Canis lupus familiaris: one gene and its partners. The protein of the gene in region 1 interacts with the protein of each later gene in a pairwise test. Links are inferred from orthologs where the notes say so. Each region holds a gene or a part of one and is shown in the gene's direction. Other genes may lie near its edges.

The links.
Region 2: the proteins of ALAS1 (region 1) and PPL interact in binary tests that used the Homo sapiens proteins (3 or more experiments, as listed by UniProt). The two-hybrid records come from large-scale screens. The link is inferred for Canis lupus familiaris from reciprocal best matches to the Homo sapiens genes ALAS1 and PPL.
Region 3: the proteins of ALAS1 (region 1) and ZMAT1 interact in a two-hybrid assay, tested with the Homo sapiens proteins (2 studies listed by BioGRID). The two-hybrid records come from large-scale screens. The link is inferred for Canis lupus familiaris from reciprocal best matches to the Homo sapiens genes ALAS1 and ZMAT1.
Region 4: the proteins of ALAS1 (region 1) and LONRF1 interact in binary tests that used the Homo sapiens proteins (3 or more experiments, as listed by UniProt). The two-hybrid records come from large-scale screens. The link is inferred for Canis lupus familiaris from reciprocal best matches to the Homo sapiens genes ALAS1 and LONRF1.
Region 5: the proteins of ALAS1 (region 1) and DUSP19 interact in a two-hybrid assay, tested with the Homo sapiens proteins (3 studies listed by BioGRID and IntAct). The two-hybrid records come from large-scale screens. The link is inferred for Canis lupus familiaris from reciprocal best matches to the Homo sapiens genes ALAS1 and DUSP19.
Region 6: the proteins of ALAS1 (region 1) and POLDIP2 interact in binary tests that used the Homo sapiens proteins (3 or more experiments, as listed by UniProt). The two-hybrid records come from large-scale screens. The link is inferred for Canis lupus familiaris from reciprocal best matches to the Homo sapiens genes ALAS1 and POLDIP2.
Region 7: the proteins of ALAS1 (region 1) and CDC73 interact in a two-hybrid assay, tested with the Homo sapiens proteins (3 studies listed by BioGRID and IntAct). The two-hybrid records come from large-scale screens. The link is inferred for Canis lupus familiaris from reciprocal best matches to the Homo sapiens genes ALAS1 and CDC73.

What each region holds. Positions count from the first base shown.
Region 1 is NC_049241.1:37,967,788-37,971,382, reverse strand, and holds part of ALAS1 (5-aminolevulinate synthase, nonspecific, mitochondrial), read left to right. Parts: intron 1-1,219; coding exon 1,220-1,447; intron 1,448-2,278; coding exon 2,279-2,428; intron 2,429-2,848; coding exon 2,849-3,071; intron 3,072-3,595.
Region 2 is NC_049227.1:36,814,129-36,817,723, forward strand, and holds part of PPL (periplakin), read left to right. Parts: intron 1-1,677; coding exon 1,678-1,832; intron 1,833-2,510; coding exon 2,511-2,631; intron 2,632-3,126; coding exon 3,127-3,252; intron 3,253-3,349; coding exon 3,350-3,388; intron 3,389-3,595. UniProt on the Homo sapiens protein: Component of the cornified envelope of keratinocytes. May link the cornified envelope to desmosomes and intermediate filaments. May act as a localization signal in PKB/AKT-mediated signaling.
Region 3 is NC_049260.1:76,214,443-76,218,807, reverse strand, and holds the start of ZMAT1 (zinc finger matrin-type protein 1), read left to right. Parts: upstream 1-1,472; 5' UTR 1,473-1,511; coding exon 1,512-1,791; intron 1,792-1,912; exon of another isoform or gene 1,913-2,048; intron 2,049-4,365.
Region 4 is NC_049237.1:37,049,398-37,052,992, reverse strand, and holds part of LONRF1 (LON peptidase N-terminal domain and RING finger protein 1), read left to right. Parts: intron 1-158; coding exon 159-273; intron 274-3,160; coding exon 3,161-3,282; intron 3,283-3,595.
Region 5 is NC_049257.1:26,447,180-26,451,408, forward strand, and holds the start of DUSP19 (dual specificity protein phosphatase 19), read left to right. Parts: upstream 1-1,381; 5' UTR 1,382-1,440; coding exon 1,441-1,666; intron 1,667-4,229.
Region 6 is NC_049230.1:42,576,421-42,580,465, reverse strand, and holds the start of POLDIP2 (polymerase delta-interacting protein 2), read left to right. Parts: upstream 1-1,202; 5' UTR 1,203-1,253; coding exon 1,254-1,414; intron 1,415-2,772; coding exon 2,773-2,854; intron 2,855-4,045. Other genes in the region: TMEM199 (transmembrane protein 199), read right to left, coding at 836-1,046. UniProt on the Homo sapiens protein: Involved in DNA damage tolerance by regulating translesion synthesis (TLS) of templates carrying DNA damage lesions such as 8oxoG and abasic sites.
Region 7 is NC_049259.1:6,545,089-6,549,349, reverse strand, and holds the start of CDC73 (parafibromin), read left to right. Parts: upstream 1-1,403; coding exon 1,404-1,534; intron 1,535-4,043; coding exon 4,044-4,149; intron 4,150-4,261.

The sequences.
Region 1 (3,595 bases):
TCTTTATAATGGAAAGGGCAAAAGAAGGAAGCACATGCAAAATAAGTAAAACTTTTTAAAACTTGTACATAGAGGGGAAAAAAAGATAATTTACCAAGGTTCCTGCAATGGCTATGTTTTGAGGAATAGAACACTATTATTCTAGGTTTCCCACAGTGAATGTATATTACTTTTATAATGAATGAAATGAGCTTCAAAGCAATTGTTTGACTTTATAGAAGATTTTAACAAAAACAGTATTGAGGGATCCCTGGGTGGCGCAGCGGTTTGGCGTCTGCCTTTGGCCCCGGGCGCGATCCTGGAGTCCCGGGATCGAGTCCCACGTTGGGCTCCCGGTGCATGGAGCCTGCTTCTCCCTCTGCCTGTGTCTCTGCCTCTCTCTCTCTCTGTGACTATCATGAATAAATAAATAAAATTAAAAAAAAAAAACAGTATTGAGACATCTTACCCAAGTTGTTAGGAAAGATTAGCCTCTGACTCACAGTATTCCAGGATGATGCAGAATAAAACTTTACTAGAAGGGTGAATGAATTTGCTCTAGGGGAAAGAGAAGTCATTGTGACTCGAAGCACAATTACCAGCCAACTGGGTTAAGTCAGTGCACTTCTTTGATGCATTTAGATGAGCAAGTAGATGAGGTGTGTGAATGTGATACCCCTTTGTTTTTTTTTTCTTAACATAGTAATAATTTGAACTCTATTAGACAACAATAGAAAGACCTCACTTTTAGCCTAATTTCTTTTGTTGAGTAAATCAGTAGTTTATATGTTAAGCAACAGCAAGCTTCTTTGTCAAGAATCTTTCAAAAATATTAGCAGAGAAAAAATTGTATGAACGTTTCTATTAACCTTCAAGAGTGTGTCCTCTCATGAAAAATGCTATGTGTCCTTAGGGTGGATTTACTGGAAATCCTCCAACTCAAAAAGTCTAGGCTGTCTAAAACTAGAAAATACTACTTTTTTGCGGATTTATAAGGAAAAATAGGGGTTTGAGAGATAGCTGGATTGTGCCAATTAACTCCTCATGGGAACATCGTTTCCAGTGAGGCAGATGAGAAGACCATTCAACTAGCAGAACCTAATAAAAACAAACTTCTGCCTGATATGTAGGGGTAGAGTAAGTAAAAAGTTTGTCTTGGAAGCAATAAGAGAAACAAGGGGCTTTCTTGTGTATTGTGCAACTAGGTCTGATGCTTCAGTTTTTCCATTTCACCCCCCAGAGGACAAAACTGCCAAAGCCGAGGTTCAACAGACTGCTGACGGATCCCAGCAGACTCCAGATGGCACGCAGCTTCCGTCTGGACATTCCTCCCTTGCCACAAGCCAGGGCACTGCAAGCAAATGCCCTTTCTTGGCAGCCCAGATGAGCCAGAAGGGCAGCAGTGTCTTCCGCAAAGCCAGTCTAGAACTTCAGGAGGATGTGCAGGAAATGCATGCTGTGAGGAAAGGTAAACACATGACTGGAACCATTAGGAAGAATGAAGAGGTCCTTTTGGTTCTTTTGATCCTTCAAATTTGTGTATGAGCTATTATTAGGGTAGTATTTGTATAAAAAACTTCCTCTTTTAGGGCCAAGGAAGAAGGTCATCAAGATAGGCGGTTAGAGGACTGTCTGAGAAAATGCGGGACTTTCTTTCTGGGGTGTGTGTAGGATGTGACCACTTTTTATAGTAATTGCTTCATTCTGAAAATACCCTGTTGGCGTAAGCTATTAACAACTGCCCTTTGTTTCTTTCCTGCCATCCTGTGGGATAAAAGGTAAAAAATAGTGTTTCTGCAGTAAATGATGGTCTTAGGACTCCTAAGCTGTGTATCTTACCGATGGTCACTAAGAGGCAACCTTAATTCCAGATGTGGCTGTATCCACAGAGCACCAAAAGTCCCCAGAAAACCTCACCAGCAGAAATGATATATATGACCAGAATTGTCTTCTGTGAAGAAAATTGAGATTAGGGTTGGGTGGAGTGGGAAGGTGGAGAAGACCTGCTAATAACCAGCTAGAAAGCTTTGGACTCTTAATATTCATTAAAGCTGTCTGGTAGCTTTGAAAACAAAACAACACTAGGCATTGGTCATTAAAATAAAAGGGAAGAACCAAAGCTTCATATTCTTGGTTGCTACTACTAGCTTTGGTTATGCTCAGCTGCTGTGTGTGTGTGTGTGTGTGTGTGTGTGTGTGTGTGTGTGAACTAAGCAGTAATTAATTTTTGACGATATTTCTGGGAAGTATTGTGAACTCAGAATGTTGGTTCCCTTTTTTCTTGTTACTTTCATTACAGAGGTTGCTCAAACCTCCGTGAACCCTAGTGTAATTAGTGTGAAGGCCGATGGAGGGGACCCAAGTGGATTGCTGAGGAACTTCCAAGATATCATGCGAAAGCAAAGACCAGAAAGAGTGTCCCATCTTCTTCAAGATAACTTGCCAAAATGTAAGTCTCATTGTTATTTACCTGATGTAGGAGAGGATTTTTAACTTAAACATATATTAGCTTAAACACAAAATTGCATGGTGAGTTGAGGATTAAAACTCATGTCTCTTGCTTGATGCAGGTAGGTGTTCTCAGCCATAGTAAATACAAATCCTGTTGGTAACATGTTTTCTCTCCCTGAATACCTACCTTCTATGCCCTGGCACTGTGCTAAGCAATTGACATACACGGTCTCATTTGAGACCTTCATAGTCTCAAGATGAGGATGTCCTATAATTTGCCCACATGAATACTTCGTTAATTTGTCCAGAATTACCCTGCTGCTAGGTGACCAAGCTGGGGTTGGAACCCAGGTCTTTTGCCAAAGCCCAGACATGCTTCTTAACTGTCAAACTGTCCTGTCTTTTGTTTGGTTTTTAGCTGTTTCCACTTTTCAATATGATCGTTTCTTTGAGAAGAAAATTGATGAGAAAAAAAATGACCATACCTATCGAGTTTTTAAAACTGTGAACCGGAGGGCGCACATCTTCCCCATGGCAGATGACTATTCGGACTCTCTCATCACCAAGAAGCAGGTGTCAGTCTGGTGTAGTAATGACTACCTTGGAATGAGTCGCCACCCACGAGTGTGTGGGGCAGTCATGTACGTAGCCCTCAGCTTTCAGATACCATTGACGTTATTTGGCGAGACATTAATGATTTAGAGGGATCTTTTATGGGGGCAATATTCAGCAGCTAAAAGTGTGTCATAACACACTATTATTTTAAGCTTTTAAAGACATCCACAGATGACTTTTAAGCTAGAATGCACAAATAGGTATGTGAGGATTCAAGTGTATGGGCACATTGACTATTCATGTCCATTTCTTACCACTTCTCAAGTGAGTGCAACTTCAACCCCGGGCCACCTTGCACAGAGGCATCCTTGCTGATGCCTCGGTTGGAGAGATACAAATCTAGCAGCACTGGAGGAAAAGCTACTTCAGAAAGACACGAACAAGGATGGTAGATCCTGTCATTCATGTCCTTCCGGAGGTTTGCCATGACTAGGGACATTTGAGAGAGTTGCTTGCCAAAGTCTCCAAGGGAGGCTTGTTAAAGAGATTACAGTCTGAGGTGTAGTGATAGATCTATCCTAATATTATGTGACTGGTTTCTGGAGAGTAG
Region 2 (3,595 bases), on another chromosome or scaffold:
GGTCAAGCCAGAGAGCATTTCCCAGAAAGCTGGCCCGTGACCTTCCGATCGATACTCCCCAGAGGTACCGCCGTGCCGACCTCTCGCCATCCATCGAGTTGCCCCTGTGAGCTCTTGAACACCTACGTGGCGTCCCTCGGCTCGATGTTCTTTCTGGTTTTGGCTAGCGGGTTTCGAGAGGGCTTGCGTTCCCACACAGCGTTTGCGTGAATGAGGTAATGATTACTTTGCTTCCCCTCCTGCAGAATTAGTCTCTGACACTGTAACTGCCCGAGAGCTGCAGATCAGCTGGAAATGATGGAGTGGCTGATGTTCCATCCAGGCCAAGAACCCTGAGGCTTTATTGTATTTTTTTTTCTTCCACTGGCCAGCCCCACCCCGGGGTGGAGAGAGCGCCCAGCCCCACTCCGGGCCTCCCCTCCAAGCCTCTCGGGGCGCCAGGCCCCACCTGCCCCCCAGCCTCCCTGGAGCTGGCCGGGGAACGGATGGGCTGAGCGCCTTCTCTTCTCCCAACAGAGGGGTCTGGTCCTTATTCTGGATCAGGAAGCACATCACCTCATTCGCTTCTTTTTGCTTTTTTTTTTTTTTTTTTTAAGATTTTATTTATTTATTTATGAGAGACACACAGAGACAGAGGCCAAGACACAGGCAGAGGGAGAAGTAGGCTCCTATGGGGAGCCCGAGGTGGGTCTCGATCCCAGGACCCCGGGATCCCCCCTGGGCCGAAGGCAGATGCTCAACTGCTGAGCTCCCCAGGTGCCCCTTCTTTTTGCTTTTGCAGCAGGTTTATTAGGTGTATCTGACGTATAAGACTCTTGCTGCCCTGCTTGCCCTTTCGTTGTCTTTCCCTAAACAAGCAGAGGGGGATCCCTGGGTGACTCAGCAGTTTAGCGCCTGCCATTGGCCCAGGATGTGATCCTGGGGACCCGGGATCGAGTCCCACATGGGGCTCCCTGCATGGAGCCTGCGTCTCCCTCTGCCTGTGTCTCTGCCTCTCTCTCTCTCTCTCTCTCTCTGTCTCCCATGAATGAACAAGCAGAGACCCTGTCCCTTCAGCAACACAGACCGTGCCTCCCAAATATCCACCCGCTCTGTCTACTCTCACCATTTCTGCAGCTGCCGCCCCCGACCAGCCACCGTGAGCTCCCACCCGGCCTTGTCACACCGCTGGCCGCCCTCCTGGCTGTGCTCTTGCCCTGTTAGAGCCCTGAGGCATTGCCATTAAGGATAGATGGGGCCTCGTTGCTTTGCACGTCTCCCACCTCCCTCCCCAGCCTGCCTTCCTGCCCCAGGACCTTTGCACAGACTGTTTCCTCTGCCTACAACACTCTTTCCTTTCATCCTTGGTTCTTAGCTTATGTCACCGCCTCCGAGGAGGCTCACTCATCCCCGGATATAAAGCAGGTCCTGCTGTTGCACCTCCGGTGTGTTTCCTTGATAAACACCGACTTGTATGGACTTGTATTTACCTCCGTGAGGTTTCTGTGTTTATCTGACCGGGCTGGGCGGAGCCTTGCCTGTTCATTCAGAGCCCCCACAAGTGGGTACGTGGGCTGTTTGTTGAAGAAAGGGGGGCCCGGGGAGCCCCTTGCTGGCCCTCTCCCCCCGCCCCTCCCACCCCGACAGTGCCCACCGGGTCCCCATCCACTGTCCCCCTTCCTGTCTTGACTCTCTCAGGACCTGGCCCGGCTGCAGGAGGGCCGACAGCCCGAGCACCGGGACGTGACCCTGCAGAAGGTGTCGGACTCAGAGAAGCTGCTGTATGTGCTAGAGGCGGACGCAGCCATTGCCAAGCACATGAAGCATCCCCAAGGAGACATGATTGCCGAGGAGTAGGTCCCCCCGCGCCAGGCCCCTGGGACAGGGCAGGAAGGCTGTAGGCCGCTCAGTGTTCCGGAGCCCAACGCGGGGTTCACCAAGGGGCATGTGCCCAACGGTGTGGTTATCCTCCCTCCTCAGGGAGACTGAGGCTCAGCACTGACGTCCTCTGTTCTGGTCCCAGTGTGACCACAGCTCCCTGACCAGCACGCTGTCCCGCCTCCCAGCTCCTGAGCACGCTCTCCCGCTCCCAGCTTCCCGTGTTCACCGCACCCCCCTCAGCTCAGCTGTGGATAAACTGGCACCCAAAATGCCTCCCAGCTCCTTCTGCACTCCCCACCCTGGCAAGGGCAAGGGCCTCTCTGCGCCATCCCTGTCCTGGCCCAGGCCACCCCTGTGGTTCCTGCTCCATGGTGGGCTCCGGGGAGCAGTGGACCTGCTTGTTTCTTCCAGAACCTTCTATGGTTCTGGGCACACAGTAGGCCCTGGGAATACATTGATAGGAGAAGAAAGGGCGAGGGAGGATGTCAGTGATTGGATGACAAGGCCTGGGTCGCCGTGTCCTTCCAGGCCACTGAGCAGAAAGCCCCGGGGCCAGGGTCTGGGGTGGGAGGCCCCTCCCGGGGGAAGGGGGTGGGCAGTGGGGCTGCCAACCAGCCCTGCCAACCAGGATGGCCACTCTCCCCACTCAGCATCCGTCAGCTGAAGGAGCGCGTGATCAGCCTCCGGGGGAAACACAAGCAGATCTACAACCTGGTGGTGAAGGAGGTGGACCCACAGGTCAACTGGGCAGCGCTGGTGGATGAGAAGCTGGTACGGCCCAGGCTGCAGCTGTGGGCAGGGGGTACCCCGCCATCCAACGGCTTCCACGGTCCCGCCTCACAGAGGGTCACACTCCTGATGGTGCCCGACGTCGGCACCAGTGAGAAGAGCACGGCTCAGAGGTGTAGCGCCTGGCCCAGTGTCCCTCAGCCGAAGTGGTGGAGACTGGGCACCTCCGGGAATGCTCTCCAGCTCTGGTTGTCGGGGCCCAGGCAGGCTAGCCCGTCTCCGGGTTGTGTGTCCCCCGACCAGGCCTCTGTTTCCCCATCTGTGAAATGGAAATGACAACCGTGGGGGCCTCTGAGGTTACAGTGAGATTCAGTGAGATGACACGTGTAGGGCACGGTGGCAAAGGTGACAGTCTCCCCTCCACCCCGCCTCTCTCCCGGGGCCCCTTGGCTCCCTCCTTGGTTCTTGGGGTGGCTGGGCTGCGAGTTCGGGGCCCTCGCCCACCCTCTGTCATGGTCTCTCCGCCCGCCCTCCCAGGACAAGCTGAGCGGCCAGGGCTTTGGGACGGACCTGCCACTGGTGGATCACCAGGTGGAGCAGCACAATATCTTCCACAACGAGGTCAAGGCCATCGGGCCGCACCTGGCCAAGGACGGCGGCAAGGTGCGTGCGGTGGTGGCCTGGGCCTGGGCCTGGGCCCCGGGGAGGAGGGGTCACGCCTGCGGCCTCCCTGTGACCCGCAGCCCGGCTCTATCCGCAGGAGAACAGCGAACTCCAGGCCAAGTACCAGAAACTGCTGGTGAGAACTCGGCCCCCGGGGAATGGGAGGGGAGAGGGTGGGATGTGGGGGGATTGGGGGGACAGGAAGCGTGTGCAGTAAACATTTCTAACAGAATGAAAGGGGTTTGCGTGTGAAGGAGATTGTACCCTGAGCCCCCACCTGAGAGGTGCTGTGGTTTGCTAGTGGAAAAAACCCTAACAGGTCCCCTGGATACAGCCCATCCTA
Region 3 (4,365 bases), on another chromosome or scaffold:
AAAACAAAACAAAGTGTATTTTGTTATCAAGATGATCCCAGGCTATGGAGAAGGAAGGCAAACAATACAAATATGCATGAGATGTAGGGGGCAGCACAGTGGAGGGTGGAATTAAGGCTAAGTAGGACAGAACAGGTTACTGGAGGAAGAGATGTATTATCTGGGTTTCAAAGGTTGTATGAGGGCTCATTAGACAGGTGCCTAATGTGGGGAAAAGGGCATTTCAGGAAGAGGGAACAACATATACTAACATTGCATAATGAAATGACAGTCTTCATAGTAATCTGTAATTAATTTAATATAGCTAAACCATAAAATAAGTGGTGAGGTGGGGGCACTAAAAGGGATTGAGATCAGAGGAAAGGAGACCAGTAGGACAGAGGCCATAGTTCTGACAAGAGATGACGCCTTGAAACAGGGCAATGGATGGGAGACTGAAAAGGAGAGCATGCCCAAGAGCAAATTTTGCACAGTTCCACCAGGACACATATCCATCATCAGGGAAACGGATGTGATATTGTACAGCATTAAAAGTGAATGAAGTAGTGCACCTGGGTGGCTCAGCTGATTAAGCATCTGCCTTCAGCTCAGGTCATAATCCCAAGGTCCTGGGATCAAGCCCCACTCGGCAGGGAGTCTGCTCCTCCCACCACCCTCTCCCTCCTCATGGTCTGTCTGTATCAAACAGATAAATAAAATCTTTTTTTTTAGTGAATGAACTACAGCTACATAGAGGAATATTAGAAACAAAATGTTTAGCAAAAGAAAAATGTCCCAAAATGCTACCTAGAATAAGATACAAAATGTTGTGAAATTTGAAAACAAAAGTAAAAAACACTGTTTAGGCATACATGTATAAGAATATGTGTAAAAAGAGAATGGAAATAATAAATGTAAATCAAGATATTGGTTCCTTTGGGACGCAGGAAGGCAGTTGGGGAAAATATTGAGAAGTCTTAAAATATCAGTAATATCCTAGTTCTTTGGTTGGGTACCAGATTCACAGGTTTTTACCATAATTTAAATGGGTAGATGGATAGATAAGTAGTCGTTTACGGCCCCACGATGCAAATGACCAAGTATTCACCAAATATTCGCTTATTTATCTCCTCTGTACTGAGGGCTACAAGAAAGAGATATTTTGGAAGTGGGAATCAACTGGTTTTCTAACATTTTCTTTACCCTTAAATTGGTTTCAGATCAGCTCCTCCAAGGGAAGAGGCCTCACAGTGTGAGTCCCACGTGCTGTTACATCCCGCGCTTTTTGCCCTTTGCCCTTGGCCATCATCGCTTCCCCTCCAAAGGGAAGCGGGTGACGTCAAGCAGTGGAGGAAGGGGGAGGGGCAGCCCGTGGGTCTAGAGCGTTCCTATTGGTGGGGAGAAGGAGCGAGAACGAGGCTCGAGCTGAAGCGTGGAAGAGAGGGGCGAAGGGGGCGGGGCTAAGCTGGAGGCGGGGCTAAAAGAGCTTAACGGGAGCGAGGCGCAAGTGCAATTGTCCGCGCCTCGCTGCGATGGCGGCGGCGCCGAGCACAGTCACACCGCTGGCGGCGGAGTCTTCCCCTCAGGAAGCTACCGTCTCTGCCGCCTCCTCCTCCTCCTACACCGCCTGCGCGGCGGCGGCGGTGGCGGCGGCAGTGATTGTGCCTGCCTCCTCCGCCACCTCCACCCCTGCCTTCCCGCCTGCCGGTGGCTGTGGCGACGGCGGCGGCGGCTTTGGCGGCTCCACTATGGCGGCGGCGGGGAGGGGGGGCAGTAGTTTTAAAGTAGACACCCGCCCTCGCCTCAGAGAAGGTGAGTTCCCGTCCCGGGGTGTGGGGGCGGCCCCATCTCCTTCGCTGCCTCTCTTCAGCCCGTCCGAGATCGGACTGGGCGCGGTTCGCCACCGCCCCACCCCCCACCTGCTGTGGCGCAGTAAAGGCCAAGATCGCCCCGCCCCGCCCTGCCGTAGTAGCCCCGAGTGTGCAAGATGGACTGAAGCAGAGAGGGGCTTCCCTACTTCTTCCCCCACTCTCAAGGTTGGCGGTGGTCCCCAGGAAAAGGAGCTGCAGGTATTCACACGGCAGGAATTTGAAGGGAAGAAAAATACCACATAGTTTCTCTCCCAGCCAGGGTGCCTTAGTATGGTCTACGAAGCTGAGGTGTGATTTGATAAAAAGAGAGGACTTAAGGTAGAAATGGTGTGAAACTGGAGGGTCAGGAAAAGGGAAGGGGGACTGATGCAGAACGGGGGCAGAGATAGAAGAGAAAGGCCGAAGAAATAAGTAAAAGGGAGCAAACCCCCTTTGGTGAAATTCAGCATCCTGCAGTGGAAACTTGCTGTGGGATATTTAAAGAGAGAGGAGGTTAGGAAATTGGGGAGGTTAGAGTGTATACTTGAGCTTTAAAGTAGGAGCTGTTAGATTGTAGGATCATAGGGTCTGGCGGAGGGGGTTGTACTAAGAAAATAAAGGAAGAGAGTGTGGTAGAAGCACAGATTTCAGAAATCACTTTGGAGAGTTTTCTTTGGCTATTTGAGGGTGTGACCTTATAGAGCAAAGTTTAGGGGCCCATCAGTGAGATGGTTTTGATTTTAGTAAGTGCTGTTGTACCTACCAACACATACTACTCCTAACATAAAAAAGATTTCTTAACTATTTCAGTAATAAGTGGTATCTAGTTCACACGAAATACTATATACTGGTAAACAGCCTACTAATAGCAAACTGTAAAATTTGCCATTGAAATGTGTTTTAAAGCAGTGTTTGGAAATGCTTCTTATTCTTAGATTGTTGAGGCCGAGTCCACTATAGAAGATTTAAGGTAAAGCATTTTGCCATCGTAAATTTCATAATTTCCAGTATTTGTGTGTTACCTCATGTTGCTAACTTGCCTCCCAACTGAAAGACGTGAACACCAAAATGGAGTAGAACAATTTAAGTTCCTTTTTCTTAGGAGGACATCCCATTAAAATTACCCCATAAAAATGTTTTTCTCTTCACATTCTTAAATGGTACATTCCTGTGTGCTATTTCATAGCCTTTCACACCTTTCACTTTGGAGGAATGGCAAAGCAGTAAAAAAAAAATCCTTTACAGTATTTGTCATAGACACATTACATAAATGCCACTTACTAAGTATGGAAGTTAGAAATACACGGTGATATGGTGATGTCTTTTTTTTTTTATTAACTCTCTTACTAAAGGCAGCCTTTGTTTTTTTTGTTTTTTGTTTTTTTTTTTTTTAAAGGCAGCCTTTGAAAGACTATAGTGTCTTTAGTCATCCTGGATTTGTACAGTTGTTTGAGGGTGAAAATATGAAATCTGGATTTTTTTTTGTTTTTATACCAAACTATGTATGACTATAAAGAAGGAGAGAACAGTTTTTAAAAGTGGTCAAGATCACGATTCAATCTGGCTGTCATGGACTTTTCACAGTAAGGTTTAGGACCAGTATCTCATGGAACAAATAAATGGCTTTTTGCCTGTCTCTGGGACTGTCTTGGTTATAGTATCTTTGAATTTACATAGGTATTAATGGCTTTAAGAGATATAAATTCATAATGTAGCAGCAATACCCTGTATACATTATTTTTAGCTGGCAAAATGAAGAGGGCTGCAGCATAAGAGTCTGGTGCAGTGAACCTAGGTTCTGTTGTTTATCTACTAGATTTTGTAACCCTGAACAGATGATAGACTTCCTAGATTTGGGTTTTGACATTTCTGAAATAGAAGTATTGGACCAGCCAGACTCCAAGGTTGATTTCAGATCTGAAAGTATGAACCATGATTTTGTAGTTCTGCATTGATACTCTCCAGGACATTTCCATGGCTGTGCATTAGAGCAGTAATTCATAAGCCATGAGAAACTTTGACCATAGTTTTCACTTGACATTCAGTGAGTAATGAAATCTGTGTTGTTAGTGTTGAGATCATTTACTAGGATATGAAAAAACAAATATAATTGCTACCTAAAAATTATTTCCTACCATGTCATTTTAGGTAAATAACCTTCATTAACTGTTCACTCCAAACCAAAACTTTCTTACCTTTCCACTTAACAAAAGATAAATATATGATATAGTACACTGTCCAAAACATTATTAGGTCTCAAATTTTTTTAGATATTTATAAATACTATAAATGGTTGGCAGTTATATGATAGTGGATAAAGAAGAGTGAAAAATGTCACTTGATGGTGTGCCAGTATCTTTTGCCTGTTTATTTTTTAAGCCCAAGTTAGGAAATTGATCTAAACGGTGACAAAGAATTGTCAAGATTCCAGTTACTACAAGTCCACTCCAGATAGGACCATTAAAAGTGGTTTGATAAAGCATTTGCTGATCTATTTTCAACTATAGCCAGCATCTTTCTTGGGGTTGGTAGTGAG
Region 4 (3,595 bases), on another chromosome or scaffold:
GTATTTTACATTTATTGTACTTATATTTATCACTGCCCCTTCCTTCCTCTCCTGCTCACTAGATCCTCCTTCTTCTTCAAATAGAGGTCTATTATTTATTCACTTTTTCCAATGTATAGTTTAACGTGAAAACTAACATGTATTTTGGTTGGTTTCAGGTTGTTTTTTGAGCCAGTAACAACCCCTTGTGGACACTCATTCTGTAAGAATTGCCTTGAGCGTTGTTTAGATCATACACCATATTGTCCTCTTTGCAAAGAAAGCTTAAAAGAGGTAAACATTTGTATATTTATCTGTTTATTGGTCTTAAGCTTGGCAACATTGATTTCTGTTTGGCCATAGAAATAGTGATTACCACGTTCAGAATAAGTTACTTTATGTATGCTAAGTGACCAGGAAGGATAACGTTTCATTACCCAAATGCTAGTGGTGGAGAAAGAAGAATTTAGAGAGCATAGGGGAAAGTTAGGTGGTCCTGGAGGCCAAGCCCCATGTACTTTTTTTTTAACAAGATCTGGTGTGATCAAGTACCTGGTGTAGAATGGGTTCAATTTTAATGACAGTATTGGGGAAACCCAGTTGCCCTGCCTTCCATCCTCCTCAGTAATAGGCTAGATTTTGGCCCCAGTTCTGCCCCCTTTAACATCTGGACAAACTCTAATAGAATTTTTTGCCTTGATGGAAATGCTCTATACTATGCTGTCCGCATGGTAGCCACTAGTCACATGTAGTAATTAAGCACTTGAAATGTGGCTAGTGTGACTGAGGAACTGTATTTTAAATTTTAATTCTCATTTAAGTAGGCAGAGGTGACTGTGGCTACCATTTGGGCAGCACAGCTCTAAAGAGTGGTATATGGACAGAAGAGCTTCCCATAGCCCTTGTATAGCCCATGTGTTAAGGAAATAGCTAGATCTCAGGTGCATATCCTTCTGTAACCAATGGAAAGACAACATTCTACCAATCCTGCTTGGGTGACTGGAACCCCCCCCCCCCCCCATAAGGTGAGGCCCAGGCATCATAATTCTGAGCTCCAACTGCAAGGATGGCATTGATTAGGGAGAGTGATCCTGTTTCTTGTGGTGATAGGATTGCTCAAAAAAAATAAAAAGTTGATAAGACATTTTGTAAATGAATGTGTGTATTTATTTCCTATATAGAAAACACAGCTCTGTACAGATATGATACCATATGTGTATTATTAATTTGATATATAATAAGCTTGTATGTAAAACATTAAACCATATACAAATTTTGTCCAGAAACAAGATAAACTCATTCTTAAAGAGTTTGTTAGTTACATTTCAGCTGATATACTTAATGTTTTCAGGTGAAGTACTCCAATCATGCTGTTTTTCTTGTGTTTCCAGGTTTTTAGATACTCTGTAGCACATTTATCACACTTTTTCTCTAATAATTAGACACGATGGCTTTAAATAAAGATACAATTAACACACTGTTTAAAAATAACCTTATCCTGTGTCTTAAAGATATCCTGTATAGTAGGTAAAATCTAATATATATCTTAAAAAACAAATTGATATGCTCTATAGTTTTACTCTTTTCCTACTTGTCATTTTCTTTTGCTCATTTTTTCATTTGAATGTATTCTAAAGATAGGATTTTTATAGCAACATAATAGTTCATTGATTTAACATTTCCCTGTTGTAAGTTGTTTTGTTCTTTTTTTATATATACTACACTTTGTGTCTTTGACTATATTTCCTTAAGATAAAATTTCTGGAAGGTGAATTATTAACCAAAAGCCATATATTCATAAGACTCTTAAAACCAATTACTGGGTTGCCTACATTCCCCAGAAATATTGTACAGATTTAATTTCCTATCAGTAATGTAAGAGAGGTGGTTATTTCCCCAAATTTAATATAAGAGTATTACATTATATATTATTATTATATAGCCCCATGGTTTTCAAAATGTGTTCCCCTTCACCTGGGAACTTGTTAGAAATACAAATTCTCAGACCCTACACTCCACAGCCACTAAATCAGAAACTCTGTGGGCTAGGGCTCAGCAATCTGCATTTTAACAAGCCCTGATTCGTGCTGAAGTTTGAAAACCACTACTGTTACCCGTTTCCCAACCTCCCACATTCCCTCCTCCTCCTCTGTTCTTCATTGGATAATGACAAACCCTTATTTTTGCTACATCTGCAGATTTTAAAAGTATGGCTTCTCTGTATCTTGTGATTGTCTCCCAAAAGTCATTCCTCACTACTTTTATGAAATTTATATTGGTCATTTTTGTGTTCGAAAATCCTGTACACACCCTCTGACCCGGTCCCTGGCCTTAGGCAGTTTTTAAACTTATCTACAGAAATATAATGTCTCCTTGTCCATGTAATGAATACGGTGCAGGGTGTGGTAACTGCCTTTTATGTGGTAAAGGCGGTAGAAATGGGCTTCTTGCGAGCCAGAAAGATAATTAAGGCAGACTTCACGAAAAAGGTAAAGATGTAGCCAAGCCTTGCAGGATAGGCAGGCTTCTCATAGCAGGAGGGAGAGAGGCACGGCTTTTAGCAGTTACTAGAGAATGACAGAAATGTGTGAGTGGCAGTTTTGCAGAGTATTGAGGGAGCAGTACAAATGCACCATTTTATATGGAGAGGGACACAACCTCTCGCTGAGGGTCTGAGTGATTGATAGTAGGTGATGAGGGAAGCAAAAATCTGAAAGAAAAATTATCTGGAAACTCTGCCACTGAAATGGAACAAGAAAGGGAATAGTTTTGCTTTTCTTAAATAAGGCACTTGCCTTTATTTTATTAGCTTATTTTTGTTTCTCAGTTAAAATGCTAGTTTGAAGTACCCAGAAGCTGCCCGATAGAAGTTGGCCTTTGGTGTGGGAGAGGGCAGGGCAGGCCTGAGTGCTGCTAATAGAGGATTCGTGGCCACAGCCAGACAAGGGTCTTCTGTATAGGGCACGGTTTCCACTGCAACCGTGTACCTTTATTGGTCTCAGCACAGCCTGGACAGGTTGACCTGTTTAGCACCATCTGTTGTCATGTTCCCCCCCTCACCCCTTAATTCAGAATTGACTGTATAAATATGTAATAAAGGCTTTACTCTATTCAGTTCAACTGTTTTGCCTGTTTTATACCATAGGAAAAGTACTGGAATGTAAATAATATTGTCTTTTAGTATCTAGCAGATAGGAGGTACTGTGTCACACAGCTGTTGGAAGAATTGATAGTGAAGTATCTGCCTGATGAGCTGTCTGAGAGAAAAAAAATATATGATGAAGAAACTGCTGAGCTCTCACAGTAAGTTTCTTCTCATAAAGTTAATGTAATCCCCACCCTTTGACACAGTAAGGCGACCTCCTCCCAGCAAGCTGGATCCTGTCTGCAGTTCAACCCAGTCTAGCCAAAGGCGTATTTTAAACAAATAACTGGTCAGCTCCCCCCTCTCCTCAACAGACAGAAGTTTTTTTTAAAAGTTTCTTTAGTAACTTCCAGATGTTCCACTGGGGGTTGCCGACTCAGCTCTTCACCCCGTTAGCAGGCTTTTAGGCGGAGGAGGAGGGATTTCCTGCAGTGACATCAGGCAGTGGAACTGGGAAGGGAAGCCTCAGGT
Region 5 (4,229 bases), on another chromosome or scaffold:
CGGGGGGGAGAGGGGGCTCCGTGGGGGGGCTCCGTGGACGGAGGGGGCTCCGAGGACGAGGGGGTTGCTCCATGCTGGGGAGACGGCTACGCGGGGGGGGGCTCCGTGGAGGGAGGGGGCTCCCAGGATGAGGGGAGGGGGCTCCGCGGACTGGGGGGGAGGGGGCTCCGCGCACGGGCCCCTGGAGGGAGGGGGGAGGGGGCTGGGGGGGCTCCGAGGACGGGGGGGTTGCTCCATGCTGGGGAGACGGCTACGCGGGGGGGCTCCGTGGAGGGAGGGGGCTCCCAGGATGAGGGGAGGGGGCTCCGCGGACTGGGGGGTAGGGGGCTCCGCGCACGGGCCCCTGGAGGGAGGGGGGAGGGGGCTGGGGGGGCTCCGAGGACGGGGGGGTTGCTCCATGCTGGGGAGACGGCTACGCGGGGGGGGCTCCGTGGAGGGAGGGGGCTCCCAGGATGAGGGGAGGGGGCTCCGAGGACTGGGGGGTAGGGGGCTCCGAGCACGGGCCCCTGGAGGGAGGGGGGAGGGGGCTGGGGGGGCTCCGAGGACGGGGGGGTTGCTCCATGCTGGGGAGACGGCTACGCGGGGGGGCTCCGTGGAGGGAGGGGGCTCCCAGGATGAGGGGAGGGGGCTCCGCGGACTAGGGGGGTAGGGGGCTCCGAGGACGGGCCCCTGGAGGGAGGGGGGAGGGGGCTGGGGGGGGCTCCGAGGACGGGGGAGGAGGGATCTCCGTGGAGGGAGGGGTCCCCGCGGCCAGGGGTGTGCTCCGCGGGGGGAGGCGCTCCGCGGAGGGGCGGATCCGCGCCCGGGTGGGGGCTCCGAGGACGGGGGCGTCTCCGCGGGGGGAGGGGCTCCGCAGACAGGGTGTCCCGCGGGGGTCTCCGCGGAGGAGCCCGGGCGCCCTGGCCCCGTCCCGCGCCTGCCGCCGTGGCCCCTGCGCGGGGTCCGAGCGACGCGGAGCGGCTCCGCCGGCAGTGCCCGCCCGGAGGGCCCGGAGCTCCCGCGGGGGTCACCGACCGACCTGGGGGCGCCTGGGGCTCGGCGGGGGGGGGGGGCTCCGCCTTCGGCCCAGGGCGTGCCCCGGGGTCCCGCACCGAGCCCCGCATCACATCACCGGCCCGCAGGGCGCCTGCGCTCCCTCTGCCCGCGCCCCGGCGTCCCTCACGAACCAATAAGTAGAATCTTACAAAAAAAGTAAAAAGAGAGCCAGAGCCAACAGCAGCCGGAAGGAGCCCGGCGGCCGGCCCAGCGCGGACAGCGGGGCAGGGGCGGGCGCCGGAAGTAGCCAGCCCCGAGGCGCGGCGGCGGCCAATCAGGTGCCGCCTTACTGCGACGGCGACGCCCCCGCCCCTGCGCAGGCGCACTCCGCGCTCCTCCCCCGGCCGTTTCCGGTTCCGCCCGGGCTGGCCGGCAGCGGGTGGCGGGGCGCCGGGGGCGCGGGGGATGCACGCCCTCAGCCAGGAAATTCGCGCCTTCTCCCGGAAGGGCCTGCGGAAGCAATGCACCAGGGTGACCTCGCTGACCGGGAGGACCACCGTAGAAACATGGGACGGCGCGCGGCGTGTCGTGGTGGAGGCCGGGCCGCCGGGCCGCGGGGGCAGCTGCGGATTCGTGCCGGACCTCAGCCTCGACCTGCGGGTCGCCGTCCTGAAGCCCTGGTTGCTGCTGGGTGAGTCCGCGCACCTGCCGCTGCCTCCGCCCCCCCCTGCGGGCCCTGAATCTTCCTCGGGTCCCCCCCAACCCCCGGATGCGCGGTGCTCTAGTCTCATCACGCATCTTCCCGAAAAGCCGAAATGTCTCGTTATTTCTCAGATTCGGGACTTGGCGAGGGCCGGCCGGTGGTGTCTGCCCCACAGCATAACCCGCAGGCAGCCCAGGTGCTGGGAGCGCACCGCACCTGCTGCTTGGATCTTGGATTCGAGAACAGCTTACGGCCTGGTGCTTTTTTTTTTTCTCTGCAGGATAGCATGTCCACGTTGCATTTTCTCGGATTATACACGGGTATAGGCTCCCAAATCATCAAGTTAAAGGGAATGCTTTCATTAGGTAGGACTGTGAAGAGGCAAGGGTTGAGGTCACAGAAACGAACCAGCCAAGTGCCTGTTGCCTCCTGGGCTGCTGGGAACCCGGTGGAAGGCCAGCCTCCCGCGGCCCATCCAAGGGCCTGCTTTCGGAGTCTTACGGAGGGATGCAAGACTTGAAGGAATAGGAGACTTTACTTTGTAGCTGTGGATTTGATAGTTTTATGATTTCCTTTTTTTTAAAGGATATTTTATTTTTTTATTTATTCATAGAGACAAGAGAGAGAGAGGGGCAGAGACACAGGCAGAGGGAGAAGCAGGCTCCCTGCAGGGAGCCAGATGCGGGACTCGATCCTGGGACCCCAGGGTCACACCCTGGGCTGCAGGTGGTGCTAAACCGCTGAGCCACCGGGGCTGCCCATGATTTCCCTTTTTTAAAAAAATATTTTATTTATTTATTCATGAGACACAGAGAAAGGCAGAGACACAGAGGGAGAAACAGGCTCCATGCAGGGACCCCGATGTGGGACTGGATTCCAGGACCCCCAGGGTCATGCCCTGGGGCCCAAGGCAGACGCTCAACCCCTGAGCCATCCAGGCATCCCAGCTTTATGATTTCTTGTATGGTGGAGAATATTGTTTCCCTATACAGTGCGTGGTCCACAGATAGTAAATGAAGCACAGGTATGAAAAGCACACACACCTGTTGGCTTGGCAAGAGTTTGTTACGGTAGTCTTTTTTTTTTTTTTTAAGATTATTTATTAACTTATTTATTCATAAGAGACAGAGAGAGGGAGATAGAGAGAGAGGCAGAGAAGCAGGTCCCATGCAGGGAGCCCGACGTGAGACTCGATCCTGGGTCTCCAGGGTCAGACCCTGGGCTGAAAACAGGTGCTAAACTGCCGGGCCACCCAGGGATCCCCTACACTAGTCCTTTTAAAAAAAAAAAAAAAAAAAGACAGCAATGTGTTAAGTCGATTTGGATTCTTTTTCATTTGTGAATAGAGAAATTATGACTTGGAAAGACCAGTGATTTGTCCATATATATGCATTCTTGAGTAGAACAAACCCTGAGCTGGTGGGCGTCAGAAATAGCCACATCCTGTTGTGCAGCACACACAGCATCTCCTTTAAAAACAAAACAAAAAACACCACCTTTCTTTATAGAGTAGGGATGATCGGGGCAGCCGGGGTGGCTCAGTGGTTTGGCACCGCCTTCAGCTCAGGGCCTGATCCTGGAGTCCCAGGATCGAGTCCCGTGTCAAGCTCCCGGCATGGAGCCTGCTTCTCCCTCCGCCTGTGTCTATGCCTCTTTCTCTGTCTCTCATGAATAAATAAATAAATATTAAAAAAAAAAGTAGGGATGATCAGCTCCGTTTCACAGATGGGAACTGGATTTAACAAGGGTTAGGTAGTTTGCACAAGCTAACACGCATAGTACATGACAGAGCTGGGCATCTAGCCCGAGTCTGATCCACTCCTGGTCTACACTGTGGTTTAGGATGCCCCAGGGAGTCAGGTTTTCAGTCTTCCTCGGCCTCTTGGTAGATGAACTAGCACAAGTCCTTCATTCTCTGTGGTTCCCCAAGAAACCTGCCTGTAAAACTAAGGCCAAGGTATCTGTTTCTCTCACAGGGTTATCCTGAGGTGGTGAAAAGTCTTTGAAACAAATTAATCACAGCTCACACCGGATTTGTTACTGTGTTATGCAGTGCACTAATCGCTCCATGAGCTATCTTGCATTTCAGATAAATGTCCCCAGCTAGTTTCTGAAGCCCAGTGAAAAATTAAGGGGTCATTTAGCTAGTCTGAAAGGTTTACCCAGGACTTGCACACCACTCTTCCTAGGAAGGAAAACACGCCCAGGCACCTTTTTTGGTTATTCAGCTTCCATTGTAGCAATAATGGTTTAAAATACTATGGTAGAATTTTATTTTATTTTATTTTTTAAGATTTTATTTATTTATTCATGAGAGACCCAGAGAGAGAGCCAGAGACACAGGCAGAGGGAGAGGCAGGCTCCATGCAGGGAGCCCAACATGGAACTCGATCCCGGGGCTCTGGGATCACACCCCAGGCCGAAGGCGGCACGAAACCGCTGAGCCACCCTGGGCTGCCCCAGTATGGTATAATGTTTTTTTTTTTTTTTTAAGATTTTATTTATTCAAGAAACAGATAAAGAGGCAGAGACACAGGCAGAGGGAGCAGCA
Region 6 (4,045 bases), on another chromosome or scaffold:
GGAATGTCTTTGAACTGAATGATATAAAATATCAAAGTTTTTGTGTGTAGGTAAGTAAAGAAGGAAAGCATCTTTAGACTTGTCATAGTACAAAGTAATGAATTAAGTATCTTTGTCAACAAGTATGTTTTAGTTCTAATAGTTGAGTGGTCTACCCTTTGTACCTCTGGATAGGCTATGTTAACTCTGGCAAAAGACCTTACAAACTAGTTTGTCCTATTCCCTTCCTTTACAGTTAAGGGAACTGAGACCCAAGGAAGAGAAATGAATTCTCCAAGAGGACTTTGTGGCAGAGCTAGGACTAGCACTCAGATGCTACTCCCAGATCAGGTCTTTCAATACGGCTTTCCATCATCCTACGTGGAAGAAAAAAAAAAAAAAACAAGAAAAAGAGAAAAATAAAAAACCCTATCAGATTTGGCTTGCTTTTGAGATGGAAAGAAATTCAGATTCCCAAACAGGACAAGCTCACTGTCCTACGTCATTTTCTAATGTGGCTTTTAAGAAATTGAACTTGTGCGGCGGTACTGGTTTAAAACTAGACCTCCTCAAAGGTCAGGCGGCCCGGAGTGGGCTGCGTAGTGAAGGGGAGACTCTCAAGAGAGCAGAAACGGCACAAGAAAATTCTCGGCCATCCCGAGAAAGCCCCATCCACGGAAGCTGTTAAGGGAGTGTATTGCCCTACGGTTTATGAGGTGACTCTTGGGTTGGTTAGATGACCGTTCCGCGGGTGACGGAGAGTGATGGCATTTTTTTTCCCCCTCGTAACGATGCCAGAGGTGGGAGAAGACTCTGGAAAAAGGGAGGTGAGTCCGGGCTGGAGACTGGGGCTCACCCGTCTCTCTCAGGTACTGATGCAGATCTCGGATCAGGCGGAAGGGAACCAGGCGCGAGGGGCCACTGGGAAAATCACCGTCCTTGTGCTTCTCCCCCAGCACGGCTTCAAGTTCTGCACGCAGCTTCCGGGGCAGCTGCTCTGGCTCCAGCTCCCCACCGGGAGCCAAAGCGCGCACCAGCCGACCACCCGCACGCAGGCAGGACGCCATGTCTGCCGGACTTAGGGTCAGGTGACGCGGGGCCGGGACTTCCGCCCACGGCGCGCCGGAAGGAGCCTGCGGCTCGCGGGGCGGGCTGAGCCCGGCCGGGGGCCGAGGGGGCGGGGACGCGGCGCGGGGCAGTGTGGGGCGGGGGCAGAAGGCCCGCGGCCGCGGCTTGGGCCCAGTGTCGGCCGCCGAGCGGGCGCTCCGCGGGACATGGCGGGCTGCGTGGCCCGGCGGGCCCTGGCCGTGGGCAGCCGCTGGTGGGCCCGCTCGCTAACCGGGGCTCGGGGGCCGAGGCCACTCTGTGTGGCAGGTGGAGCTGGGGCCTTCCCGCCAGCGGCGGCAGCGACGACGCGGAGGCACCTCTCGTCCCGGTGAGGGACTGAGCGCGGGGCCCGTCCCCGGAGCCCGGGGAGCGTGTTCCGGCCAGCGAGGCGGCCGGGAGGCTCGGCCGGCCGAGGGTGACTGGGGTGCGACCTGGGAGAGGGTCCCGGCGGCAGCCGACCCGCCCTGCCTGGGACGTGCGCCAGGAACAGAGAAGGGAGCGCGGCCCAGAGCCCCGGGTTACGCCGGGCTGGCCCCGAGCGGGAGCTAGTAACCCTCCCAGAGCGAATCCTGCCTCCCCAGATGGGGATCTCGGGCGCTGTTGCTAGTGGGCAGCCTTTTAATTAGACTTTAGGGCTCTGACATGAACCCCAGCCCCGGGTTAGGACAAGGCCTCCCTCAGAAAGATGCTCGAAGTGGGAAACAGGACTTTTAGGAGGGCCCTGCGTAGGGCCCAGGTTTCAGCGTGACCTTGGGGAGACTGGTTCTTAGTGTGTGACCCGGGGAGGGGGCTTGAGGTCACGGGATGGTGTGAGCATGGCCTCTAGCGATGGGACAGGCAGGTCAGACGGCCTGGAGGATCAAGTGAGGGGGAGCATACGGTTCACATCTCCAAAAGGCTAAGAATAGCAGACCTTGGAAGGACCCCTAGAAAGAGCAGCCCTGTCCAGAGAGACCACTGAGAGAACTGACCTTTTTGGGGGGGGCTGAAATTAGACACTGGTGTTGGGGAAAGATGGATGATAAGTATTTGCACCTTAAGACCCGAGGGAAATTTGATGTAAATCTGAACAAAAACTAGATTGAAAGACTACTAGGTGCAATGCGGGGAGTGCAGTAGGACGTATGGTGATAATGGTTAAGCCCTTCAAGGGCAGGGTGAAGGCTGCAGTTTCTGGGCATAGACAGAGATGGAATTAGAACAAATGTTTTACACACTTGGCTCTGAGGGGGAACACAGGCTCATCAGACGCAGGCATTGCTCCCAGAGAACCTACGGTCTCTAGTGGAGATGAGACATGGGCACAAATAACAGAAATGCAAGGTGGGAAGGGCGGTTAAAATGCTGTGGGAGGTCAGGAAAGAAACAGGCAAGAGGTACAAATAAGCAGGGTGCGAGGGCATGATATGAGGAATGCTGAGAGTGAAGAGAGAAGAAAGTGATGTGGGAGCCGTCAGACATAACACAGAAACCGAGGCAGGGCCTGTGGCTAGATCTCAAAGAGGAAAAGACGGGATCTGGAGTGGTGGTTTGGCAGGACCCTTCCCTGCTTCACCTGCCCCACGGCTTGGGCCTTTCTCTGCTGTCACTGCCTGGCCCCTCGGTATCCTAGTAGCTTTTTCTGATGGGCTAGGTACCATTACCTCCTCAGCCTTTCAGTTGCTTGTTCTTTTCCTTCCTAACCAGAAACCGACCAGAGGGCAAAGTTTTGGAGACGGTTGGTGTATTTGAGGTGCCAAAACAGAATGGAAAATATGAGACCGGGCAGGTGAGTGCTGGGCTGGGTCATTTTTCATTTTCAGGATATGCCCTGCATCTTGAAAGGGTCAGCTTCGGTCATAGGCTCGAATGTTATAGTTTTCTGCCTTGGTGTTCAGTGCCAGACCAGAATCACAGATTTTTTAAGATGGGGTTTCTGTTTTCCTGGATCTGAATCCTTTTCATGTATCAAAGGGTTCTCTTTCTAAGTTAGCGTGGACAGAGATAATTTGAACCAAAGGAAGGAGAGAGCCAGATTGTTGAATCCTATAATTTAGTGGAAGGTGGGAAGCCAGTGAAGGGAGCTTTCAGAAAAGCAAAGCTTTGGATGCCTGGGTGGCTCAGTGGTTGTGAGCGTCTGCCTTCAGCTCAGGGCGTGGTCCCAGAGTCCCATGATTGAGTTCCACAATGGGCTCCTCACAGGGAGCCTGCTTCTCCCTCTGCCTGTGTCTCTGCCTCTTTCTGTGTATCTCTCATGAATAAATAAATAAAATCTTAAAAAAAAAAAAAAAAAGAAAGAAAAGCAAACCTTTGGGGGTGACTGGGAGGCTCAAACAGTTAAATGTCCAACTCTAGATTTTGGCTCAGGGCATGATCTCAGGGTCCTGGGACCGAGCCCCACGTCTGACTCTGGCCTAGGTGTGGAGCCTGCTATAGATTGTCTCTCTCCCTCCCCTTCCTCCCTCTCTAAAGAAAATAAGAGAAAGAAAGAAAAAAAGAAAAACAAACTCTTGATTCTTTGTCATAGTTGAACTGATTGCAGTATAATATAAGCTGTGGGTGTGAGATTCTTGTTTTCGTTATCAGCTTTGTGCGAGATCCACTGAGATAGATTTAGGCCCCTTGTAAGTAAGGACTTTTTGTTTACTCAACTTCCCGCTTGAATGCCTGCAATGGACCAGGTGTTGTGCATTGAACTTGACTCAGAAAGCAATGCCTTCGTAGCGCTGGCAGTCTAGAGAGGAAGTCTAGATGGAGTCTGTGGCTAAGCATTATGCTAAGTGGAGGGGAGGTCAGGGAAGGCTTCCTAGAGCTCTAAGCTATGGTCTAAAGGATCAATAGAAGTCAGCCAGGTAAAGAGGAGGTAAGAGTGTTCTGAAGCTGGTGAGGGTAGATCACAGAGTTCAAGGGAAAGATTGGCAAGATCTTGTGCTGGGATTGTAGCCACCTGTGCCGCTTAGCAGTCTGAGTCCCACCTGGA
Region 7 (4,261 bases), on another chromosome or scaffold:
GACACAATTTTTCAGATTCATTTGCAAAATGGTTATAGATAGTGTAAGAAGTGAACCACACCCTTCTATATTCCTCTATAGTGCACATAATAAAAATGGATCCCTTTGAAAGCATGTCAAGATTTTGGTTATGACAATAAAGAAGTTGCCTTCTCCCTCCCCCCCCCCCTTCTGCTCTAGTAAAGGGAATAATAAAAAAAAAAAAATACAGGCCCCGTATGTTTAGTGTTTAAGGTTTTAAGGTGTAAAGGGCTCTATATGTTGAATTTATTTCATTGATTCCAGCATGGCCATTTGAGTGCCAATAAAAAAAAAAAAAATCAATTCGAAAGTGTTCAAATTCTGACAGGTTGGAGTCTGTTTTCTAAGTTTTTCCTTAGGCTCTCTGAACAGAGCCATTTAAACATACCGCTTTGAGGCTGGCAGGGAGAATGGGCCAGGTCGGAAAAAAGTCATCATCTAAGGAAATGAAGTGGAAGATCCAACATTTATGTTATTTTGATGATTTGCTAGACGCTTCCTTTCATCTTACTCGCGTGCTAACCCCTTTTCTCCAGTAGCCAATTAATGCTGTGACAACGTTATCTTGGCCAAGGTCAAACAGCAGGTAAGAGATACAGGTGACTGGGGCTGGTCTCCCGGGGGCTCGGTCTTCCCCACTCTGCGAAGGGACACCCTGAGGCCCAACCAACGCTCCCCCCAGCATCCTCCCCCTGCTAAAGGGGCTCGTCTGATCACTGAGACCTGGAGGCCACTTAATGGGTCTCACTTGGTCGGTAAGGTGACCCTAGGGCTCTGCAAGTCCGCGAAGCTCCATCGCTTCCAAGGAAGCGAGCCGAGAGCCCAGGTGCGTCGGCGGCCGCCCAGCGCGCGCCCAGGCACAGCAGCCGCACGCGGCTTCCTTGCAGGTGCGCGCGCACCTGTCGCGAGGCGGGGGGAGGGGCGTGCGCGTGCGCGGGCAGCCTTCGCCGTACGTGCGCCGTACGTGGGCGCGGTGTCCCCGCGCTCGGAGTTTCGGGCCGGGATTCGGCCCGGTGCCGAGTGGGAGTCTGGGAGGGAGGGGCGTGTGCCTGGCGGTGGCGGCTCCCCCTGGCGGCGGCCGTGCGGCGCTGGCGGCGCTGGCGGCGCTGGCGGCGCGCAGTCAGGCGTTCTCCGCGGGCAGCCGGCGGCGGGGCCTTGCCTTCCAGCGCGGGGTCCTCGGCGGCCTGGGTGTCTGCTGCCCCAGCCGCTGTCGTAGGCGAGGACGGCTGCTTCTGCGGCTGCTGTTGGTGCGCGGCGGCGGCGGCGGCGGCGGCGGCGGCGGCGGCGGAGGAGGAGGGCGAGGCGACTGAGGAAGAAGGCGGCAGGCGCGGCGGCGGCGGCGGCGGCTTGGCCCGGGGCCGGCGGCGGCGAGGGGGGGGAAGATGGCGGACGTGCTCAGCGTCCTGCGACAGTACAACATCCAGAAGAAGGAGATTGTGGTCAAGGGAGACGAAGTGATCTTCGGCGAGTTCTCGTGGCCCAAGAACGTGAAGACCAACTATGTGGTTTGGGGGTAGGTCCGGCACGGCTGTGGCCTGAGGAGGGCCGGCAGAGGGGGGCGCCCCCAGGCGACCTCTTTCCTAACCCCTCCCCCCGGTTCCCTTGGGGGGATGGAGGGGAAAACAAAAAACAAAAAACAAAAAAACCCAAAAGAACCGGGGCTCTGAGTAAAAGTTTCTCACTGGAAAAGAAGTTGTACTTTTAGGTGAGGAGGGAACAGGAGGAGGTGCGCCTGGACGGGGCCGTTTGTGTCAGTGTTTGGGGCTCCACAGGGAGAGGGAGCTGGGGAGTTCCTGACTTTTCTGGTTCATTTTTGCCGGTAAGTGGTCGAGTGTCAGCAACGTGTGTAGGTGCAGAAAGGGGCACACCGTCCGGTCCTGGGGACGCCTTGCTGTGTTGTGTTCTTCAGTTTGGGTGTTTTTGTTGTTGTTGTTTTTTCCTCTCTCTTGGAGGCTGCCCTGTGTGGTTGTAAGTATCCCTGCTGCCCCTTGCAGCTCCTGGTCTGTTGCTTTCCCTTCCGTAATTCCTTCCCTCAGGAAGAGCAAAGAGAAGTCAGAACGGGAAAAAGATGGGGTCACTCGGGAAGAGTCCTCACAGCCCCTCTTGGCGGGGGGCGGAAGGCAGGAGTTTCCTCAGGGAGAAAGTTGCCGGGCGAAATGGGGACGGGGGGGGGGCGGGGAGAGCCCGAGGGTGGTGTGGGGTTTTAGGAAACGTGCTCTGAAGAGCGAGGTTTTAAGAATGTTGATCCCGTGCCGGGTTTCCTGAATATCAAGTCGTGAGGCAACATTATCCAGAAATAGGTCCGATGATCGTGCGGGACCTTTGTAGTGATGTTTCTGTGTCGTTGGTACTTCCCTCGAATGCTTAGAACCTTGGGCCAGAACCTCCATACCCGTTTGGCTCGATTGAATGGGGGGAACCTTGGGCTTTTATGAAGGAAGAGTGGATGAAAAGCTAGGGAAGATGTAGTTTGTTGGTTGCTACTTTTTTTTTTTTTGGCCTCGAGGGCTTATGGTTTGATTAGCTTTATGACATGTTGATGCAGTGACATCATTCTGAGTTCCCTGCGTTTTGTCCTTTGAATTTACGCAGACAATCGCATTTGATTGGAATTTTAACTGTTTTTTTTTTTTTTTCCTCCCTTGTGGTTAAGAAGTAGTAATGGTGTAGGGCAGGCAGTTCGATCTGAGAAATAGAGAAAATTCTTAGCACCTTGATTCCCGACTCAAAGGAGGTTAACTTAATCAAGAGGAGATGAGAGAAAACAGAAGTTGGTGAGAAATGCGCTCTGGTCCTTAAGAGAGGAACCACTTCTAGCTTGGGGTGTTAGGAAAGGTTTCATGGAAGTGTGTTTGGGATGTAGACGTGCTACACATTTTTCATGCACAGATGAGTAAGCTTTAAAGAATGGGTGAAGAACTTGAGGATGACATGATGGGGTAGGTCTTGAAGAACTGTGCGCTCAACAGCCTGTGAGCTGGGAGGGAAATGTTTCTTGATAGTCCAACGAAGCCAGTAGTGAAAAAGAACTACTTAGAGCGACTTCAAGCTTTGACAACAGTGAATCACCCCAATAAATATATTTTCGTTTCGTTTAAGTTCATCTCTGTATGCGTGTGTACATACATCCAACCTCATAACTGTAAACAATAGTTAGTCCCTTCTTGCAGGCAGTACATTGTGACTTTGCTCTCGTATATCATTAAGATAAACTGGTTACCTGTATGTTATATTTCATCGTACAGTAATTGGTAGTGATAATATGGTTTGAAAGATGTCAGTTTAAAGAAGTGGCAATGCAGGCTAGAATTGTAGTTTGGGGCTGATTATTTTGGGCTGCATTCAGATGACTTTAAATGATGATGTTTTTAGGTGAGGAGAATTTAAGTAGGAAGGGTGAGATTGGACATGAATACTGTTGAACAGATAGCATTATGTGATTTCATTAAAAAAGCTTGCCCCTATAAACTGCATTGTTTTATCACAATTCATTGTGATTTTACACTATTGGTTAAATTTTTGAGGGATGTCGTAAGAATCACACCTCTGAAATTCATAGTTGTGTTTACTGTAAGAGTGTTGTTAAGGATGTTGTTTATAGCAGTACTTACTTAGGAGACATAGGATAAATTTCTTGTAAGTTTAGCACTGGTAATAGTTGTCCTTCTCCTCATCAGTTTGTTTTCTCTTGTGGCTCCTTTCCAGTCTATAACTGATAAGGTTTCTCTCTCTGTTGACAAAGGCCAGATAGAACCAAATTTGGGCCAAATTCTAAAAAGTATATAGTACCTTAGAATGTGAATACGGTATGCTTTCCTTCTTGCTTCTTGTTCTGTCTTCTTTGCGTTCTTTTGCTTTAATGACATTTCCACTTATTAAATTTCATACTTTTATGGGTATTTTTGTTAGCCATGTTAAATCCTTTCTTGGGTAACAAAGCAAATATAGATAAATTCATGTGTATAATGAAGTCCAAAGAGTTGAATTAAAATTGAGGGAAAATTTTGTTTTAATTACTTCAGGACTGGAAAAGAAGGCCAACCCAGAGAGTACTACACATTGGATTCTATCTTGTTTCTACTTAATAATGTGCACCTTTCTCATCCTGTTTATGTCCGACGTGCAGCCGTAAGTAAAAATGTATTTTAAAACTTTTTTGGGTTTTTGTTTTTTTGGTGGTAGGTATTATTTGGCATGGATCACTTCCCTCATGGGTTTCAAATCAAAAGAAAAAAGGTTT